Linked DNA regions of Tamandua tetradactyla. The protein of the gene in region 2 interacts with the protein of the main gene of each other region in a pairwise test. Links are inferred from orthologs where the notes say so. Each region holds a gene or a part of one and is shown on either strand. Other genes may lie near its edges.

Evidence for each region.
Region 1: the proteins of WASHC3 (region 2) and SYCE1 interact in binary tests that used the Homo sapiens proteins (3 or more experiments, as listed by UniProt). The two-hybrid records come from large-scale screens. The link is inferred for Tamandua tetradactyla from reciprocal best matches to the Homo sapiens genes WASHC3 and SYCE1.

Annotation. Positions count from the first base shown.
Region 1 is NC_135339.1:96,809,625-96,820,757, reverse strand, and holds the start of SYCE1 (synaptonemal complex central element protein 1), read right to left. Parts: upstream 4,569-11,133; 5' UTR 4,511-4,568; coding exon 4,432-4,510; intron 48-4,431; coding exon 1-47. UniProt on the Homo sapiens protein: Major component of the transverse central element of synaptonemal complexes (SCS), formed between homologous chromosomes during meiotic prophase. Requires SYCP1 in order to be incorporated into the central element.
Region 2 is NC_135333.1:172,201,676-172,212,140, forward strand, and holds the start of WASHC3 (WASH complex subunit 3), read right to left. Parts: upstream 4,719-10,465; 5' UTR 4,584-4,718; coding exon 4,533-4,583; intron 4,094-4,532; coding exon 3,995-4,093; intron 1-3,994. UniProt on the Homo sapiens protein: Acts as a component of the WASH core complex that functions as a nucleation-promoting factor (NPF) at the surface of endosomes, where it recruits and activates the Arp2/3 complex to induce actin polymerization, playing a key role in the fission of tubules that serve as transport intermediates during endosome sorting.

The DNA.
Region 1 (11,133 bases), on a different chromosome or scaffold from region 2:
CACCATTTCCATCAAGTCTTCAATTTTCCTTGAGGACTTGGCCTGCCCTGTGGAAACAAAATTTAAAAATTCAGAATCTATTAAGAGTAAGAGGCCTGAATGCAGGTCAGACAGCTCTGGGTGGGGGTTAAGGTAATCTGAGGACAGGTGTCCAGCCAAAGTCCTGAAGTGGTCAGGGCACCAAAGATGATTCAGGGGCCCTTAATGGTCAGCTATTCCCCAAAGGGTGAAATGATACCACAGATATCCCCTAAATAAAACTCAGAGTCAAGGAAAGATGACAGCACCTCACTGCTGATGCCAGTCAGGGTTGTTCAAAGCTTACTAATGTAATAATGCAAGAAAAAATGTGGGGGCGGGGGGAATAAAAAAATGGAAACAAGGAGTCAAAAATACTAAAACTAGCAATGACATGTCAATTAGAAAGTTCTAGAAAACCATATAAAGCATCATAAGGACTAGGAAGGAAATTTAATAAGATAATATATATATAAATAGCTTTCCCATATAAATAAAAAATGATTATAAAACCTCTCTGAAACATCTCATTAACAAATTTTAAAAGATCAATATAGATACTGATTTTAAAATTCTTAATGAATGATTAGATCTAGACAGTGATTATTAATGGCCAATAACTTTACAATAAAAATAACCAAACATTGTGAAATACCCATTAAGGATTACTGCCAAATAAATGAAACCTACAAGTCATTAAGCCAGTAGATCTGAATACCAGTTCCATGAAGACAGGGATGAGGAATGTGTTAAATGACATATGGGAATGCAATTAGCAGCATGCAGAACTATGAGAAATGTCACAGAGCAAACTATCTGTCTTTTTCTAAACAAATAAATTTGAAGGAGAAAAAAGAGCAAAAGGATGATCCTAACAGATTAAAAGGGATGTAAGAGACAAATCCAAAATTCACATGGAAGAGCAAGGGACTCAGAAGAGCCAGTCTTCAAAAAGAAGAACAAAGTCATAGAACACACATTTCCTGATTTCAAAACTTACTACAAAGCTACAGTATTCAAAACAGTATAGTACTGGCATAACTACAGACATATTGACAAATGCAATAGAATTCAAAGGCCAGAATTAAACCCACACATTTATGACCAACTGATTTTGGACAAGGATGCCAAATATATTCAATGGGGATATAATAATCTTTTCAACAAATGGTGCTGGGAAATCTGGATGTACAAATAAAAAAAAATAAAAAAAGAATCCCTACTTTACACCATATATAAAATTTAACTCAAAATGTATCAAGGACCTAAATATATGAGCTAAAACCAGAAAACTCTTAGAAAAAAACATAGGGGAAAATCTTTGTGACCTTGAATATGGCAATAATTTCTTAGGTGTGACACCAAAAGCACAAGGAACAAAAGAAAAAAAAATACATAAAACAGACTTCATCAAAATTAAAAACCTCTGTGCATCAAAGGACATTATCAAGAAAGTGAAAACAGTCTAAAGAACAGAAGAAATTAGTTGCAAATACTGTACAACTACAACTTAACAAAAAGGCAAACATCCCAGTTGAAAAAAGGGCAAAGGGCTGGAATAGACATTTTCCAAAGAAGATATAAAAATGGCCAACAAGAACATGAAAAGGTACCCAACATCATTAATCATTATGTAAATGCAAATCAAAACCACAAGGAGATACACCCAGTAGGATGGCTAGAATTCAAAACATGAAAAATAAGAAGTGTTGGATGTGCAACAAGGATGTAAAAAAATTTGAACCTTCCTGCATTGCTGGTAGGAACGTGAAACACTGCAGCCATTGTTGAAAACAGTTTGTCAGATCCTCAAAAAGTTAAAATATGACCCAGAAATTCCACTTCTAGGTATATATCCAAAAGAATCAAAAACAAGGACTCAGATATTTACCTGTTCCATAAATGTATAAACATTTACCAATGTATATGTTGAATATGGCAGTAATTTTAATATTATGTTGTGAATAATAGCAGCATTATTCAAAAAAGACAAAAGATGGAAACAGCCCAAGTGTTGATAGATGAATGGATAAACAAAAGTGGTATAGACAGTTGATGGAATATTATTCAACCATAAAAAGGAATAAAGTTTCTTATACATGCCATGGTTGAACCTTGAAAATATTATGCTAAGTAAAATAAGACAGACACAAAAGGGCAAATATTGTATGATCCACTTACATGAAATATCTGGAATAAGCAAATTCATGGAGACAGAAAATCAAATACAGATTACTAGGGGATAGAGGAAGGGAAATTGGAGGTTATTCTTAATGGGTACAGAGTTCGCATTTGGGGTGTTGACAAGGTTTGCCCATGGATGGTAGTGATGGTAATACATTATAAGAATAATTACTGCCATTGGATTGTACACTTATAAGAGGTTAACAGGGCAAATTTTATGTTAATTATATGTTACTACAATTAAAAAAATTAAAACCAAACACTTGTACAGTATGAGCCCTCTCCTTTTAACTTTTTATTTTGAAATAATTTCAAATTTATATGAAAATTGCAGAAGTAGGACACAGAGATCCTTTATACCCTTCACCTCAATTTCTCACTGGCTAATATTTTTGAATCTTTGACAATAAGATGCACACACAATGTCCCATTACCCTTTAATACTCCACTGTGAAGTTCTGAAGGTCAAGAACATTTTCCTATGTGGAAACTACAATACAACAATCAAATCCAAGAAATTAACAGTGTTATTAATATCTGATCTTTAAATACCATTAAAAAATTTCTCTTTCTCCTTTCCACTTTAAAATTCCACAAGTACTACCCACATTTCCCTAACAGAAAAATCAAACAATGACATTGAAAATGTCCCTCCACTTCTGCACACACACCCGCAAATCCAAATCCCCTTCCCAGAGTCATCAATTAGGAACATAGGTCTCAGCAGACACTTTCCTGTGAAATGGAAACTGGGGTACAATTAACACAATTTTCCAACTTGCTTTCTTCTCATATCTTTTAACTTCCTGTATCCATTATAAATATATATAATGTAAAAATTAAGTCCAATACATTTGACTTTAATTATGTTTCTTCCTCATTTTAGAAATCTAATGCCCAGGTATTTCATGGTGTGCATGTGTATACTTGGATTTAGCCATTCCATTCCCATGTTTTGCTATGAAGAGCAAGGCTCCAGCACTGTTTTTGGTACATGGATCTGTGTCTTGTGTGATCCCTAGGAAGGTGACTTTCTCAAGAGAAACCTGACTAACACAGTGACTAAAAGGCAAACAAGTTATTTAAATGCTAAAAATTTTACCAGACGGGCTACTGCATAGTCTTTACCTACTGTTTTTCCCACCAGCTTGTATGTGAAGACCTGTGACACTAGATAGCACCCCTGCTCTCTTTGAAACAATCTGATGAACTGAAAACAGAATCTCACTTTCTTTTAAATTTCTTCCATTGATGGTAAAGTTGATTAAATCTTCATGCAAATATGTCAGCTTATTTGAGGAACTGGAAAGAGAAATACCAAAAGTCTTCTTTAGGACAGTGGCAATCACTGCAGCTGCATAATAAAAGGGATATACATGCATCTGTCTTGTTTCTTTTCTGTTGTCCTTAGAGGAGGGCTGTGGTAGGGTGCCATGCTGTATCCTAAGCCAGCTTTGTGCTAAACTCACCTCACTGTTCAAATATTTATGTGTAAATGTGCGAAGCAGGCTCTGTTGTAAGCAAGTTCGGAGGGAGCGACCGCCACCTGCATTGACAAAGCACCTCAATGTGCCTGAACGGGTGGAGCGCGAGCCAACCTGACAGGGTCAACAAGTGACCTCATGTGGGAGTCACTGCACAATTCCATGTTACATACATCTGAAATCCCCACAAAACACCCAATAGCAGGGGGAGAAGTTTTCAATTCTCTACTCTGCTGGGCTGCGATCTCTGAACTTCTGAACAAATTAAAGGGGCTGCCATGTCCCTCTTTCCCTGGACAAGGGGAGTGCCGTCACTCTGGTCAGTGTCAGGAAGAAAAGAGGGACTCCGTGGGAGGAAATCCACGTGTAAGAGCCACTATGGGATAAAGAGGAGAATTTGGATACCGGTTGGTTGTGAGATGAAGATAACGGGAATTATTCATTCCCTTAAGTGCGGCAGGAGAAGAGAGAGTTCTTTATTTTAAGAGGTACGAACGGAAATTCTTAGGAAAGAAATGAAACGACGTCTTGAGCAAAATCTGGATCAAATAATGAGTTAAATCCAGGTGGGAGGAATGTGGGTAAATGTGCCTCCCATTTGTGGAACAGCCGAGGCTTCCCACAAACGTGGCTTCCATCTGGAGAGAGCAGGGGATGCCTCCCGCCCCTCCGCCGGCGCCTGGTGCCCCGAGCCCCTTCCCAAGCCCAGTTCCCAAGGAGGGCCTCGCCGCCTCCACACCACTACCTCCAGCTGGCTCCACGCTGTCCACGGCTCCTGTGGGCTCCGCGCTCGAAGGCCCCGACCTTCCCGCCATTTCCGCCATTTCCGTCCTACCCGTTGGTGCCTCACGTGATGATTGGGCCCCACCCTCGTGGGGGCGGGACGGCCGCAGCACGCCTGCGCAGTGCAGCCTCAGGAGCCGAGGGTGTTGGTTCCGGGCCTGCGCGAGGGCCGAGCCAGCACTGGCCAGTTGACAGTCAGTGTCCTGCGCATGGACACTACTGCCGGCCGCGCCAATCTTCCACGCTGGTGTTGCACTACTGTGCATGTGCGCAGCTCTCTGCCCATATTCTTCCTCGTGGGTGGTATCTTCATTCCGTGCGTGAAAATTCTGGACTTCAGCACGGCTCAGACATGACGAGTGTTCTGCCCGGACCATACAGGCCAGAATGTACCTGTCTCACCTTATCAGTCTTTAAACCACAAGCTCTGATGGCGCTGCCTCTCGGCAGGAGCAGAGGAAGCAGAGGAACGCGGGAGGGACGAAGGAACACCCGAATTGGAAGTTCAGTCAGAAGGCCGAGCCCTGGTGCAGGGCTAGAGAGTCAGGCGCGAGACATCATCCAGTGGGCATGCAGAGGAAGGGAAATGGGGTCCAAAGTTTCCACAAGCCAGGCGCGTGCCTGGGGGTCCTGACGTTCACCTGGTGCATGGTCCCCCTGCCATGCATCCCCCCATCAGCGTCGGCCACAGGGTCCCGGACACCCCCATGCTGGGTCTGGAGAGAGGGGCTACGAACAGAAAGCCCTTGGCTCCCCACTTGGCCCCCATGAGCTTCCCTCTGGAAACCCGGCAAGTAGCTGCCTGGGGTCAGACTCCTGGGCAGTGGTGCAGTGCTTCAGCAGGTTGTGGAGCGTGTCCTCCTTCATGTGGTGCAGGAGGTGGTCACCTGGGGCCTGAGGCAGGTGGAGCTCCAAGGAGGAGATCACCGGCAGGGCTGGGAGAGGGATGAGGATTAGAGGGTGGCAGAGCCACCCCAACCCCTTCTAGGGCTGCCTCTTGGCCATGCCTGGAGGTTAAATTAATGTTTCTGCACGTTAGTTAATTAACGTAGATTGTGGGACCTGGGTGTGAGTGGTACAGGATTGAAGGACCTCAATCTGCTCATCTGTGGGCTGCAGTCACCTGACACTTAACAAATGTTCTAAGAGCACCCCCCCCCAGCTTTCCATATATGTAGGTTAGACTAATATGCAACTGCAGGTAGCACTTATCAAACATTGTCCAGTTGTTCCAGTACCATTTATGAAGAGACTATTCTTTCCCCATTAAGTGGACTTGACACCCCTGTCATGTGTGGATTTACTTCTGAACTCAATTTTATTCTAGTGCTCAATAGGCATGTCCTTGTGCCAGTACAACACTGTTTTGTACTGGCACAAGGGCATAGTTTGTATTAAGTTTTGAATTGCTAGATATAGCAATTCAATTGCTAGGTATAGAATCCTTAGCTGGCAACTTTTTTTTTTTTTTACTGAACTTTGTTATCCCCTTGCTTTTTGACCCCAATGGTTTCTGATTAGAAATTGGTACTTAATCTTACTGAGGGAGCCTTGTACATGATATATTACCTCTCTGTTGCAGCTTTAAGGATCCTCCTTTTTTTCCTTTGGCATTCAGCAATTTAATTACAGTGTGTCTTGTGGCTCTCTTTGGGTTTATCCTGTTTGAAGTTCATTGTGATTGTCTCTCATTAAATTTGGGAAGTTTCTTGAATGTTCTTTCTGCCTCCTCTCTTTTTCTCCTTCTGTGATTCCCATAATACTTATAGTGATGTTTTAGTTTGTTAATGCAATGTGCCAGAAATGGGTTGGCTATTATAAAGAGAATTTATTAAGTTACAAGTTTATAGTCCTAAGGCCATAAAAAAAGAGATGAACTAAGGTATCCAGAGAAAGGTAACTTGACTCAAGAAAGGCTGATCTGGGAAGACGTGTGGCTGACATCTGCTGGCCGTTCAGCTTTTGGTTTCAAATGACTTAGCCAGGGGCATTTTCTTTCTGCATCTCCAAACGTCTTTGTCTATTGGCTTTGAAGCTTTTCCCAAAATGGTTCCTGCTTAGAGGACTGCAGTGAGCACGCCACCTTGAATGGGTGGAGTACATCTCCATGGAAACCACATAGTCAAAGCATCCCACCCACAATTGTGTGGATCACATCTCCATGGAAACAACTTAATAAAAAAGATCACACCCAACCATATTAAATAACATGGTTTTTCTGGGGTACACAACATTTTCAAACTGGCACAATTGGTATGTTTGATGGCCTCCTACTGGACTCTTAGGCTTTGTTCAGTTTTCTTTGTTTCTGCTCCTTAGATTGTACAATATTAATTGTCACATCTTCAAGTTCACTGTTTTTTTCTTCTGCCAGCTCCAATCTGCTGTTGAACCACTCTGAGGAATTTTTAATTTTAGTTATTATGGTTTTCAGCCCTAGTATTTATTTTTTTTTAACTTTTTTATTGTGTAGTATAACATATATACAAAGAAATAAAAAAGCAATAGTTTTCAAAGCATTCCTCAACAAGTAGTTACAGGTCAGATTCCAGAGTTTGCCATGGGCTACCATACGATCCCCTCAAATTTTTCCTTCTAGCTACTCCAGAATATAGGAGGCTAGAAGGCTTAAATATTTGTTTTATTATCACAATTGATTATTTTTCCTTTTTTGTGAAAAATAACATATATACAAAAAAGCTATAAAATTCAAAGCACAGCACCACAATTAGTTGTAAAACATGTTTCAGAGTTTAACATGGGTTACGATTCCACAATTTTAGGTTTTTACTTCTAGCTACTCTATAATACTGGAGACTAAAAGAGACATCAATTTAATGATTCAGCATTCGTATTCATTTGTTAAATCCTATCTTCTCTGTATAACTCCACCATTACCTTTAATCTTTCCAACCCTCTCTTTAGGGTTGTTTGGGTTATGGTCATTCTAACTTTTTCATATTGGAAGGGTCTGTTACTAATATGGGGTAGGGAGATGGAACTATCTGATGTTCTGGAGAGGCTGGGCCCTCTAGGTTTCAGGACTTATCTGGACCAGGGACCCATCTGGAGGTTGTAGGTTTATGGAAAGTTACTCTAGTGCATGGACCCCTTGTGGAATCTTATATATTGCCATAGGTGTTCTTAAGGATTGGCTGGAATAGCCTTGGTTGGAGGTTGACAGGTTATGATAGGTAGCAAGGTCTAACTGAAGCTTGCATAAGAGCAACCTCCAGAGTAGTCTCTCGACTCTATTTGAATTCTTTCTACCACTGATATTTTACACTTCTTTCCCCCCTTTTGGTCAGCATGGGATTGTTGATCACATCATGCCAGGACCAGATTCATCCCTGGGAGTCATCTCCCACATTGCCAGGGAGACTTTCACTCCTGAATGTCATATCCCATGTAGAGGGGAAGGTAATGATTTCACTTGCTTAGAGAAAGTGAGGCCACATCTGAGCAACAAAAGAGGTCCTCCAGTAGTAACTCTTAGCATGCCTATAGGTAGTCTAACCTTCTCTGCTACATACCTAAGCTTCACAAGAGTAAGCCTCATGATCGAGGGCTTGGTCTATTGAGTTGGGTGTCCCTAAAATTTGACACAGTATAATGACACTCCCTGATGGTAAGATTTAATAGTTTCATATTCTTTCTTCCCTCCTTCAGGGGACTTTACCAGTACTTTTTGATTATCTGCTTAATATACTCTAGGATGTATCCAGGCATTACAATATTCTGTACAAGATTATAGGCCCTCTTTCTTATTCTGGGCTCCTGGTTTTTTAATTGTTGAAATGAGTTATACAGATCGGTTGAATTAGATTATGCCCTACATAAAATTTCGGTTCCATTGGTCTCAAAGACTATGTGTGCATCTAAAATATAAACACTGTCTTCCTTACCCCTATTTTCTAAATTACTTTAACCCAAATCTGTTCAACTTCTTTCTTATCTCTAAACATCAGGTTATATATATAAAACAGCCTCTTAAAATACAGAAATAATAATCACCACTCTGGACTTAATGTGTCTGCTCTAAAGCTTATAATCTAGGCCCCTGTGTTCTTATAAACATTTACTAAAGGTGACCATACCATTCTTATTCTTTTGTTTCTGGCTTATTTTGTCTCACCAAATGTCCCACATGTTCATTCACATTGTTGCATGCCTCAAGACTTTGTTCCTTTTTGTAACAGCACAACCTTCATTCATAAGTATACACCATTGATCGCCAATCCACTTCTCCATCAGTGCATCCTTCAGCCACCTGCATTCATCGGGCATCATGTAGAAGGTCCAAAGTCCATGGTCGATCAACATTCTCAATTTTAGATAAATTTCATTGTTCCCAAAGTAAAGAAAACCAATAAACACACCCTCATCAAATAAGAAATCTAAACCTCCTCTTAAGTCTTGTTCCTCCCCCCATTATTTACCTCTGCTGTTGTTGTGGTAGTACTGATGATTTCCTTTTGAACGTAATCTGTAGCACAAAGTAGCAGTTTTCCCCCATACCCTGGACTTAAACACTCTTTGTACAAGAATCATAACTCTGAAGTAATTATTGCAAGAACTAATTCATATTTCTAGTGTTAATTAGTGGGACACGTGGGTCTATACAACCCCTTTCAATCTTGTTTATCTTCAATATGATAATATTACATATAGACCCACTAGAGAACCACCTTCTATTCCATTACATTGGAGATCAACCTCATTAGCTAAACGTTCACCCATCTCTAGCTTCTATGTATCTCCAAGCCCCCCATATTCTGTATTATAAGCCTCTAATTTGTCCTTTATTCTGGTCATAAAAGTGTAATCATACACTATCTATCCTTTTGTGTCTGGCTAATTTCACTCAGCATTATGTCCTCAAGGCTCATGTATCTTGTCATGTGCTTCAGAATGTCATTTTGTCTTACTGCTGCATAATATTCCATTGTACATATATATAACATTTTGTTGATCTACTCAACAAAATGTTGCTGGGCCTTTGGTTTGTTTCTATCTTTTCATGAATGTGAATAATTCTGCTATGAGCATCGGTGTGCAAATGTTTTTTGTGTCATTGCTTTCAGTTCTTATGGGTATATATCAAGTAGTTCTATTGGTGGGTCATAGGGCAACTCGATATTTAGTTTCCTAAGAAACCACTGAACAGTCTTCCATAATGGCTGCACCATTATACATTCCCACCAGCAGTGCATAAGTGCCCCAGTTTCTCCACATCCTCTCCAACATATATAGTTTCCTGTTTGTTTAATGCAGTCATTCTTATAGGCATGAGGTGGTATCTCATTGTAGTCTTGATCTGCATTTACCTTATAGCCAATAAAAATGGGCATCTCTTCATGTGCTTTTGAGCCATCTGTATTTGCTCTTCAGAAAAATGCCTATTTATATCTTTAGTCCATTTTATAATTGGGTTGTTTGTTCTTCTGTTGTTGAGTTGTATGATTTCTTTGTACATACAGGGAAATCAAGCCTTTGTATGATATGTGATTTCCAAATATTTTCTCCCATTGAATTGGCTGACTCTTCACCTTTTTGACAAAGTCTTTTGAGATGCAGAAGCACTTAATTTTGAGGATTTCCCATTTATCTATGTTTTCTTTTGTTGCTTGTGCTTTGGGTGTAAAGTTTAGGAAGCTACCTCTTATTACTAGATCTTGAAGAAGTTTCCCTCAATTTTCTTCTAGAAGTTCTTATATTTAGGTGTTTGATCCACTTTGCATTAATTTTTGTGTAGGGTGTAAGGTAGGGGTCCTCTTTCATTCTTTTGGCTATTGATATCCAGTTCTTCCATGCCCAATTATTGAAAAGACTCTTTTGTTCCATTTCAGTGGATTTGGGGGCCTTATCAAAAAGCAGTTGACCATAGATTTGGTGGTCTATTTCTGTACTCTCAATTCTATTCCATTGGTCAATGCTTCTGTCTTTGTGCCAGTACCATGCAGTACCAGTACTATGGCTTTATAAGAGGTTTTAAAGTCAGGGAGTGTTAATCCTCCCATTTTGTTCTTCTTTTTTAGGATGCTTTTAGCTATTCAGAGTCTCTTTCCCTTCCAGATGAATTTGGTAGTTAGCTTTTCTAAATCTTCAAAGTAGGTTGTTGGAAAGAGACTGTGTTGAATCTGTAGAACAGTTTGGGGAGAATTGACATCTTAACTATATTTCACCTTCCTATCCATGGGCAGGGAATGTCTTTCCACCTATTTAGATCTCCTTTGATTTCTTTTAGCAATGTTATGTAGTTTTCTGTTTACAAGTCCTCTACATCCCTAGTTAAGTTCATTCCTAAGTACCTGATTCTTTTAGTTGCTATTTTGAATGGAATTTTCCCCTTAATTTTCTCCTCAGCTAGGTCATTGCTTGTGTATAGAAATGTCACTGATTTTTGCACATTAATTTAATATTCTGCCATGTTGCTGAATTTGTTTATTAGTTCAAGTAACTTTGCTGTAGATTTCTCAGGATTTTCCAAGTAGAGTATCATATCTGCAAATAATGAGAATTTTATTTCTTCCTTTCTGATTTGGATGTCTTTTATCTTTTTGACCTGCCTGATTGCTCTAGCTGGAACTTCTAGCACAATGTTGAATAATAGTTGTGACAGTGGTCATCTTTGTCTTGTTCCTGATCTTAGGGAGAAAGCTTT
Region 2 (10,465 bases):
TATCCTAACTCTGCTACTTTCTAGCTATGGGCAAGTAACAGTAGCTAGTACATTTACAAATAGTAGGTATTCATACGTTGAATGAATGAATAAGCAAATGATTTAAACTTCTCTGTATCTCAGTTTTCTTATCTGTAAAGTAGGGTTAATTGGACCTTTTCAAAGGGCTGGGCTGTGATGATTAAATATAAACACATGCAGTGTAACACTGTTATAAACTACCAAATCATAATTCTTCGACTCCTTTTATTTAAACCTATGATTTTCAATTTACTTACTGTTTATTTTTCATAGACTTAAAGCCTCTGAATTGTTCCTATGCCAGCCAGAGGTACTCCAAGAATGATAACCAGTTTTATTATTCTAACCCATAACTTTGAGGCCCTTTTTCAGCATGGAAAAGTCAGAACGATTGTTGCCCAGAAAGCCCTCAAGATTGAGGAATGATTACAAACAAAAGTGAGGCATTGTAACTGAGAAATTAAGAATTAACAAATGTTCATGATTATTGACTCACTATAGTTTTTTTTTTCCTTCTAGCATATTGTAGCATACCCAGAAGTTAATACCTGAAACTAATCTCAGCTTTATTTATTGTACTGTTGTGATGGTTATTCCAGCCTAGTCTCAGCTCTATTCGTGATGGCTGCTCTAGTCCAGTATCAGCCCTGCATCTACCTGCTACTGTAATGGTAACAACTCCATGCCCTAAATGCCTATATTAAAAAACAAGCATGGGCAAAACTTGAGAATTTAACTGCTTACCTGGACAATTTATAGAAAGAACAGCAAACTAACCCCAAAGCAAATAAAAGAAGAGAAATAATAGAGACTAAAGCAGAAATAAACAAACTGGAGAACAATAAACAATAGAAAGACTCGACAAAATTAAAAGTTGGTTCTTTGAGAAAATTAATAAAATTGATGGTTTTTATTCATTATTTGCAGAAGACATGATCCTATCTATACTTAAAAAACTTGAGAAATCTACAGTAAAATTACTTGAGCTAATAAAAAAATTCAGCAAGGTGGCAAGCCAGAAGATTAATATACAAAAACCTGTAATGGGCTGACCAGTGAAACAGAACTGAGAGTACAGAGATTGAAAGAATAATTTATTCAATAAATGGGCATGGGAGAACTGGATTTCAAAGGCCAAAAGAATGAAAGAGGACCCTTACCTTACATCCTATACAAAAATTAATTCAAAATGGATCAAATGTAAGAGCCAGTACCATAAAATTTCTTGGAAAAAAATGTAGTGAAACATATTCAAGATCTGGTAACAGGAGGCAGTTCTTAAACCTTACACCTAAAGCACAAGCTGTGAAAGAAAAAGCAGACAAACAGGAATGCCTTAAGTTTAAGAGCTTCTGTGCTCCAAAGGATTTTGTTAAAAAGGTGAAGAGGCAGTCAACTCAATGGGAGAAAATATTTGGAAACCACATATCAGATAACGGCTTGATATCCTCTGTACAAAAAGAAATTATACAGCTCACCAACAAAAGAACAAACAACTCAATTATAAAATGGGCAGAGGAAATGGATAGGTACTTTCCTGAAGAGCAAATACAGATGGGTAAAATACACATGAAGAGCTACTCATCCTCACTGGCTGTAAGAGAAATGCAAATTAAGACAACAATAAGATACCTCACATCTGTAAGAATGGCTGGTATTAAACAACAGGAAATTACAAATGCTGGAGAGGATGCAGAGAAACTGGAACACTTATTCACTGTCGGTAGGAATGTAAAATGGTTAAGCTGCTGTGGAAATCAGTTTGGCGATTCCTCAGAAAACTAAATATTGAGTTGCCCTATGACCCGGCAATACCACTACTCGCTATATACCCAGAAGAGTTGAGGGCAGTGACACAAACAAACATTTGCACACTGATGTTCACAGAGGCATTGTGTTAGTTAGATTCAGTTGTCAACTTGGCCAGGTGAGCATACCTAGTCTTGTTGCTGCCATAAGCCAATGGTACGTGAACCTCATCTGTTGCTAATTACATCTGCAGTTGGCTAGGAGGCGTGTCTGCTGCAATGAGTGACGTTTGACTTAATTGGCTGGTGCTTAAATGAGAGATCACAACGTGGCACAGCTAAGCAGCTCGGCATTCCTCATCTCAGCACTTACAGCTCAGCCCAGGCCTTTGGAGATGCAGAAAGAAGTCACCCTGGGGAAAATTGTTGGACCCCAGGAGCCTGGAGTGAAGACCAGCAGAGACTATCCTGTGCCTTCCACGTAAGAACGAACCTCAGTGGAAAGTTAGCTGCTTTTCCTCTGAAGAACCAACAAAATAAATCCCCTTTTATTAAAAGCCAATCCGTCTCTGGTGTGTTGCATTCCAGCAGCTAGCAAACTAGAACAGGCACTATTCACAATTGTCAAGAGATGGAAACAATCCAGGCATCCATCAACAGATGAGTGCATAAACAAAATATGGTATATACACACTATGGAATATTATGTAGCATTTAGACAAAAGTGTCCCAAAACATATGCTGAGTGAAATAAGTCAGACACAAAAGGATACTGTATGATTCCAATATTATGACACTGATAAAGCTGCCAGTGTCTTGGAGCAGCTAGAAGGAAAAATCTGAATTTAGCCCATGACAAACTCTGGGAACTGTTCTGTAGCTGCTTGTTGAAGTGTGCGTCACAAATTTTTGCTTGTTTTCTTTCTTTTCCTTGTGTGTGTGTGCATATATACACATATATATATACTGTATTTTACAACTAAAAATTGGTTTAAAAAAGGTATTTTTCAAAAAAAGTGAATCATGAGGCTTTTACACCACAAGGCTTTGACAATTCATAAGCATTCAATCAAGAGATCATTATTACTTTTGATCTAAATGTCAGTAAATAGCACTCTTCAGGCGGTGGTAACTGTTAGGTGCTACAAAAGTGAGGGGCTATCCCTGCCTTAGAGCAGCTCAATCAACTTGATTTCAATGGTGTATGTGCTTGTTTTGTTATCATCGTCTGTTTTAGTTCTTAATTTGGTGATGAGGAATAAGGAGATGGACTATTTGCTCCTTTCCGCAAACAATCCTCGGATGTGCCCTTCCCAGAAACCTCTCTATCCCACCTGGTGTGAAAAGTGAAGGGCTAAATTCTCAGCTTACTGTTTTTTATTCAGTGAATTCTATATCCCGTTTAGACAGGCAGCATTACAAGATTAAGTTCATGGAAGCAAACACCTAGTCTTTCCGCCTGTTATCAAAGTATATTGAATTGATCCCCTTACGCTATGAATGAGCTCAGGCTGCATTTTTATTTGTCTCGGTGAGAAGGCAGAAGATTTTGATAAGCAGACAAACACAGTAGCTGGACTCATATTAGTGAACATTGTCTTCCTGTGTCCATACAACTTTTATTAATAACACATCTAACAAAAATTCCACTTGCTAAGGTTATACATAAAATAGAGTGAACTCGATACTGTTTACTCAGTTGTCTCACTTGTGAATTATCTAAGATCCATGATTTACCCACTTCTCATTTCTTCTGTTCTTTCCTAAACCCGATTTCAACCCGTTTCCCTTTTTTTGGCTTTTCTGGATCTGGTATCTAATCCTTCATCTGGTACTTAATCCTCACTGCATGAGTCATTTGCATCAAGTACCTTTATTTGCATAATGATACTGGAAGCTAAAGTTATGTTTCTAGGCTACCTCTCCTAATCATATTTTGGATCAAGGAATGTAAAATGATTTTAATATAAACTGAAACACTGTGCACCTAAAAATGTGAACCTTCGGGGTAAGGTGAACCCATCTATCAAGGATGTTTTCAACAGCGGCCCCGGGGAAGTCCTCTTGCTCGCTTTAGTCGCAGTCAACCCGCCCGAGCCATCGGACCCGGGCGCTGAGCACGCAGGTCCGCAGGGGCGCGGGGCAGCATCGGCCGAACCCGAGACGGCTCGAGGGTCTCTCCGGGCCACTCGGAACTCTACTCCAGGAGCCGCCACAGGACCTACCTCCTCACACACCGTGGAAAAGCGGTTGAGGAACTGGACTGTGTGCACCACAAACTGATTCAGAAACGCCACCGTTCTTTTCTGCTGGATAGCGGGCACCTGCGTGGCGCGGAGACAAACAGGACGCGGCGTGAGGCGCCGGCCACGCCTTCGCAGGCACCCCCTGGAGCCCTCAGAGCCGCTTCCTCAGTTTCCCCGGACAGCGGGGCGGGGGTCCGAAGAGGACAGAGGCTGCGGGCAAGTGGCGGAACGGGCTCTGGAGTCTCAGTACCTCGGACAGAAAGAACGTCCGGCGCCGAGCTCAAGGGGCCCTCGGGCGACCCGGGAAGCGGGGGCTGGGGGAGCGACCCCATCCGCTTCGTGGGGTCGGGGGCCCCACTGCGAGGCGGGCTGCGGGGCTGTGCCTCCCCAGGCCGGCAGAGGCCGAGGCTGGGGCCAGGGGCGGTGCGGCCTGCGGGCGGGGGCTTCTGCCCGGGGCCGGGCTCCCTCCCCATCCGCCTCCCCGGGCGCCGGAAGTTCAGCTCTGTGTTTTACAAACCTTGGTCAGGTCTAGGCCCGACCCCATGAGAGGAAGCCCGTCCTCATCCATCTCCTCGGAGGGTGGGGGGCCCCCGGGCTCCCTCGTAAAGCCCTCCCCGCTGGGACCCACCCAACACGGGCCTCACGTCGGGCACTTCCCGAACGCCGCCTTCCGGGGCCGGCCCGCCGGAAGGAAAGCCTCCGGGCGCCAATCACGCGGCAGGTCCCGGAAGGCCCGCCCCCTCGCTCGGCATTCTGGGACTGGTAGTTCCAGGGCCGGGTTGTGACGTCGCCCACGGGCGCGCCGAGTGGAGCTGGGCTGCGGAGACGTCTCGAAAACGGACGGGGGTGAAGAAAGAAAGGAGTCGGGGGTTGTGTCGGTTTGAGGTCTGTCCTGCGTAGTCTGGCCTGCTATGTAAATAGCTGTTCCGCCATTCGTTGAACAAATATGTATTTTCGGTCTACTCTGCTAGGTCCTGTGGGGACGCAAAGACGGAGACGAATTATGCTCTGAGGGAGGTAAGACCTGCCCCTGTGGGACTTCACAGCAGAAAATCAAATGTCACTTGCCACGTGGGAGGAATAAAGCAATGGAAATGGCTTCTTTAGATCGCGGAAAAGGTCACCTGGGAATGAGCTCTGACACTGAAATGTGAAGCTTTTGACTGCAGTGTAGCAGCTGTGTGACTTAGGACGGTCACCTCACCCAAAGCTTCGGCTTGTCCCGTGAAGCAGGCACGATGCTGAGGACGGAGAAGGTGACAGGAACCACAGTCTCTGCCCTCAAGAAGGTTATGACTCGGCTGTGCAGAATCTGGAAGAGCAGCTTCCGGACGGACAGGCCGACACAGTCCTGTGAGAGCTGCGCAGACGCACGTGGCCGGGATCGGAGTGCTGTGCGGCCATAGACGCAGGCTCGCCGCGGTGCGCTGAGAAAATAGAGGGAAGGAGCTGGGGAGCAGCTGCTTAACGCTGAGCGGGCTTGGCCTGCCAGACACGTGGGGTGGGAGGCCTGCGGGAGTGCGGCGCGGCCCTTAAGGAAAGGGAGTAGTGTTTGGTTCTATTGAAGCACGAAGTTCCAAATGGAGAATGATAGGAAATGAGACTGGATTCATAGAAACACACTCATTAAGGGCGTTTTGTGTCAGCTTTGATCCTATAGGCAGTGGTTCTCACAGTGACCGTGCAAATGGACAATCTAAATCAATATTTGCAAGGGGGTGGTGCTTCTTAATTGCATATTCCAGGGATTAATCCCAAATAAACCGAATAAAAGGTGCTGGGGGATGAGACCTAGAAAACTGCATTTTAAGTAACTCCTTAGGGATTATTCTAAACTGAAAGGTTTGAAAATTGCTTCTATATGTGATGAGGAGTAAGCGAAAGAAGTTAAGCAGGAAACAGGATTTGGAATTTGGAAAAGGGTAAGCAGTGACTAGCACATAGATACTTAATAAATGCTGGAAACAGAAAAGTTGAGAATAGTGTTTGTACACATCAATAATGGGAGGTAGAAGTGAGGAAGGATAGGACAAATAATTTTAAATGCATATCACTCTCCTTTGAAATGAAAATTCAGTTTTAATACACAGTTTTGAGGGCTAAGTATGATCCAGGCATGTTGGAATGTGTTGAAGAGTTATCCATTCAATCAACAGATAGTCCCTACTATGTGCTGTTATGAGTTGGGGATACTGCACTGATTAGAACTGCCCCCAAATTCCTGCCTTCATAGAAGTAAACAGATTATATGGAAAGCAAATCGATATTAAATTGTTTCCAGTCCAGGAATGGAGAAAGAAAATTGAAAAGAGAATAATAGTGTGATAGAGGCTAGGCTAAAGTATGCTGTGAAGAGGAGTACTTAACCCAGTTTGATGAAATTTGAGCTAGCTCCCTGGATGCATGATTTGAAAATGCAAAAGTTATCAAGGTGAAGGAGTATGGGAGGGGCATTCCACAAAGGGGAACAGGCTATGCAAAAGAACTGAGATTGAGCCCTAGAAAGCTACATGCTCACCTACTACCCACCTTTGACGGGAGGAAGACCACCACCTACTCTTTTTTTAAAAATATATTTTTATTGAGATATCTTTATGCACCAGACAGTCCATACAAAGTATACAATCAATGGCTCACAACATCACATAGTTGCATATTCATCACCATGATCATTTTTAGAAAACTTGCACCACTACAGAAAAAGAAATAAAGGGGGGGGGGAACCCATACATCCCATACCCCTTACCCCTCCCTCTCATTGACTACTGGCATTGCAATCTACCCAAATTTTTTACCTCTTATCTCCCCTATTAATTTGTCCTTATTTTCTTTTTATTCATTTGCCTATAACCTGGATAAAGGGAACATCAGCTACAAGGTTTTCATAATCACACAGTGACATTGTAAAAGCTCTATAGTTATACAATTGTCTATAAGAATCAAGGCTGTTGGACCACAGTTCAACAGTCTCAGGTACTTCCCTCCAGCCCCTTCAAAACACCATAAACAAAAAAGGGATAGCTATATAATGCATAAAAATAACCTCCAGAATGACCTCTCAATTCTTACTTGAAATCTCTCAGCCACTGAAACATTTAGTCTCATTTCTCTCTTTCCCCTTTTGGTCAAGAAGGTTTTCTCAAACTCATGATGCTGGGTCCTGGCTCATCCTGGGAGTTCTGTCCCATATTGCCAGGGAGGGAGATTTACACCCCCTGGGAGTCATGTCCCACATAGGGAGGAGGGCAATGAGGTCACTTGCCGATTTGGCTTAGAGAGAGAAAGAGAGAGAGAGAGGCCACATCTGAGCAACAAAAGAGGTTCTCTGGGGGAGACTCTTGGGCATAATTATAAGTAGGCTTACCTTCTGCTTTGTAGGAATAAGTTTCACAGGGGCAAGCCCCAAGAAAGAGGCTTGGCCTATTAAATTGATTGTGAGAACATCAGCAATCCCCTAGGTGGGAGATATGAATATTCCCTCCTTTCTCCCGGGTCCCCCAAGGGGACTTTGCAAATACTTTTTTATTCTCTGCCCAAATTATACTACCACCACTTACTCTTTCCAGAGCTTTGCCTACTCCTAGAGTCCCCACCCTTTCCTCTTCCAATGCCATTCTGTGCCTTGAGTTCATCACAATTAGTTCTGGACCCCGAAGTCATCTTTTAGCCTCAGACTCCCATCCTCATTCAACTTTCTATGTTGCCTTTTCTGACTCGTCCCCAACTCCTAGTCCCTACCTCTGTGCTCTGTGAATCTCAGGCTTTAGCAATCCCCGCATTTTCTCTTCCTCTTCTTTGATCATTCCCCTCCCAGAGCAGAATACCCAGCCGGTCAGCCTAGCTTTCCTGTCCACTGCTTCCCAGTTAAGGGGGCAAAAAAAACCTAATTACCTTATGATTTCATGGTGAAGTACAAGTAGCAGGCATGTGTGTGTGCGTGTGTGTGTGTGTGTGTGCGCACGGCACATGCATGCTGATTTGAAAGTATTACATACCACAGAAAAGCCCTGTTTTAGTCCTGATCCAATCATGAGGGGACAGCTGTTTCTTTTATCCTAATTCAATACTCTAGGTGGAAACTCTATTAGATCATCTCCATAAAGATGCGGCACACCCAATTGTGGGTATAACCTTTTGATTACGTGGAGATGTGACTGCACCAATTTCAGGTGGGTCTTGATTGGTTTACTGGAGTCCTTTAAAAGAGGAAACATTTTGGAGAGAGTTAGAAATAACGGAAGTGACAGAAGCCACACTTGAGAACAGAGACACGGATGTTTGGAGATGCTTGGAGCCCAGCTGATGTCACCATGAGATGTTAAGCCAGCTAGAACCTGGAGAGAGCCAAGGGAAGCTAATAAATTAAAGCCAGCCCTGGAGAAGCAAACTTAGGAACCCCACAGGAACAGAGGCTGAAAAGGAAACGGAGCCCAGAAGTAAGAGACCAGCAGATAGATGCCAGCCACTTGCCTTCCCAGCTGACAGAGCTGTTCCTGACCCATCGGCCTTTCTTGAGTAAGGTAACCTCTTGTTGGTGCCTTAATTTGGACACTTTCATTTCCTTAGAACAGTAAACCTGTACTTATTAAATTCCCTTTTTAAAGCTGTTCCATTTCTGCTATAGTGCATACTGGCAGCTTACAAACTAACAGTGTGTATATTATATATGTACACATACATACATATACACACATATCAAATTAAACTATAAAAACATGGGCTTGTTCTCAGTTGGTCAAGTGACCAAAATTAAAAAAAAAGTAATTTGGTTCCTTCAAAAAAAGAGACAAATATGCTACAAGATGTAAGCTATAGTTATGAAAGAAGAGAGGCAGTTTCTTTCTGCCTCCTAGGATTCTTGATGATTTTAATTAATCAGTCATCCATAGTTCCTGACAGCAGTGCCATTCACATTTTAATAACAGAATTTCCAGGACTATTAAAAATCTTTAACTAGGAGTCTTGACCAAATGCTGGAAGGTTTCTGAAATATGTACTTTTTCCTCCAGGCTTTCTTTCATTGGAAATGTATTACCAGATTTCATTTATATAGGAATAACAAGTAGATTGTTATGAATATCGATTTCAAAGGGCAGAGACTATACATACCACTTGTATATATTCATTCAATAGAAATCTTAAGGATTTTTCAATAGTTTTCTGTTTTCATAGCAGATTACTATAAATTGATGTTATTTAATTTTATCATGCATAAATTCTTTATTTTTGTCACATATTATTGAGATATATTCATTTATCATATATTTTATCCAAATCATATAATCAGTATCTCACAGTGTCTTCACTGAGTTGTGAAATCATCACATTCACTTTTAGACCATTTTTATTACTCCAAAAAGAAAATTATCAGAGATACACAAAAAGAAAACCCCAAACATCCTATATCCCTCATCTCCCCTATTATTGACCCTCATATGTATGGCACCAGCCACTATTGATGAAATAACTTCAAGTTATTACTGTTACCTACAGTCTGCAGCTTTCAGTAGGCACTCTTACCACACATACCATTCTATTATTAACTTTTTGTACAAGTATTGTACATTGTAATGAGAATTGGGTTCCTGTTTTTCCTTTATGTTTCTCCCCACTCTGCTTCAGGGTAGAACAGAGAGGCATGGTGTTGTTCATAATAGTGGGGAAGTATAATTAAATTTCAAATATCCCTGATCCCTACCTGTCCCTCAGAAGCAATACAAATCATCTCTTAGGACTTGGTTAAATAAAGGCACTCTAGAATAGGTATTTTACTTTACTTTTTCAGTCTGCTTCCTTTAATTGTTCTGGTTTTCCTAACTTCACTCCGCAAGTTAGGTTATAGGCTTATAACCTCTAGGAAGGAGACTGGATTCCTCAGCATACCTCAAGAGAACAGACCTAAAGCTATGCAGTTAGGTGTCCCTGGTTGTGCTGGTTTGAAAGGATTATGTGCCCTAGAAAAGGCATGTTTTAATACCGTTCCATCTTGTGGAAGTGGCCTTTTTTTAAAAATCCCTATTCAGCACTGCGGGTTGGAAACTTGATTAGGTTATTCCACGGAGATGTGACACACCCAATTGTGGGTATTAACCTTTGATTAGAGGGAGATGTGACTCCACCCATTCCAGGTGGGTCTTGATTAGAGGAAGCACTTTGGAAAGAGTGTTAGAACCACAACGGAGCCACGAGAACCTTGAGAGCCCACGCAGCCAGAGACCTTTGGAGATGAAGAAGGAAAACGCCCCTGGGGGAGCTTCATGAAACAAGAGGCCTGGAGAGAAAGCTTGCAGAGGCTGCCGAGTTTGCCACATGCCTTTCCAGTTGAGAGAGAAACCCCAAATATCATCGGCTTTCATGAACCTAGGGATCATTCCCTCGATGCCTTAGACTGTACATTTTCTATAGCCTTGCCTTATTTGGGACATTTTCTGCCTTAGAACTGTAAACCTA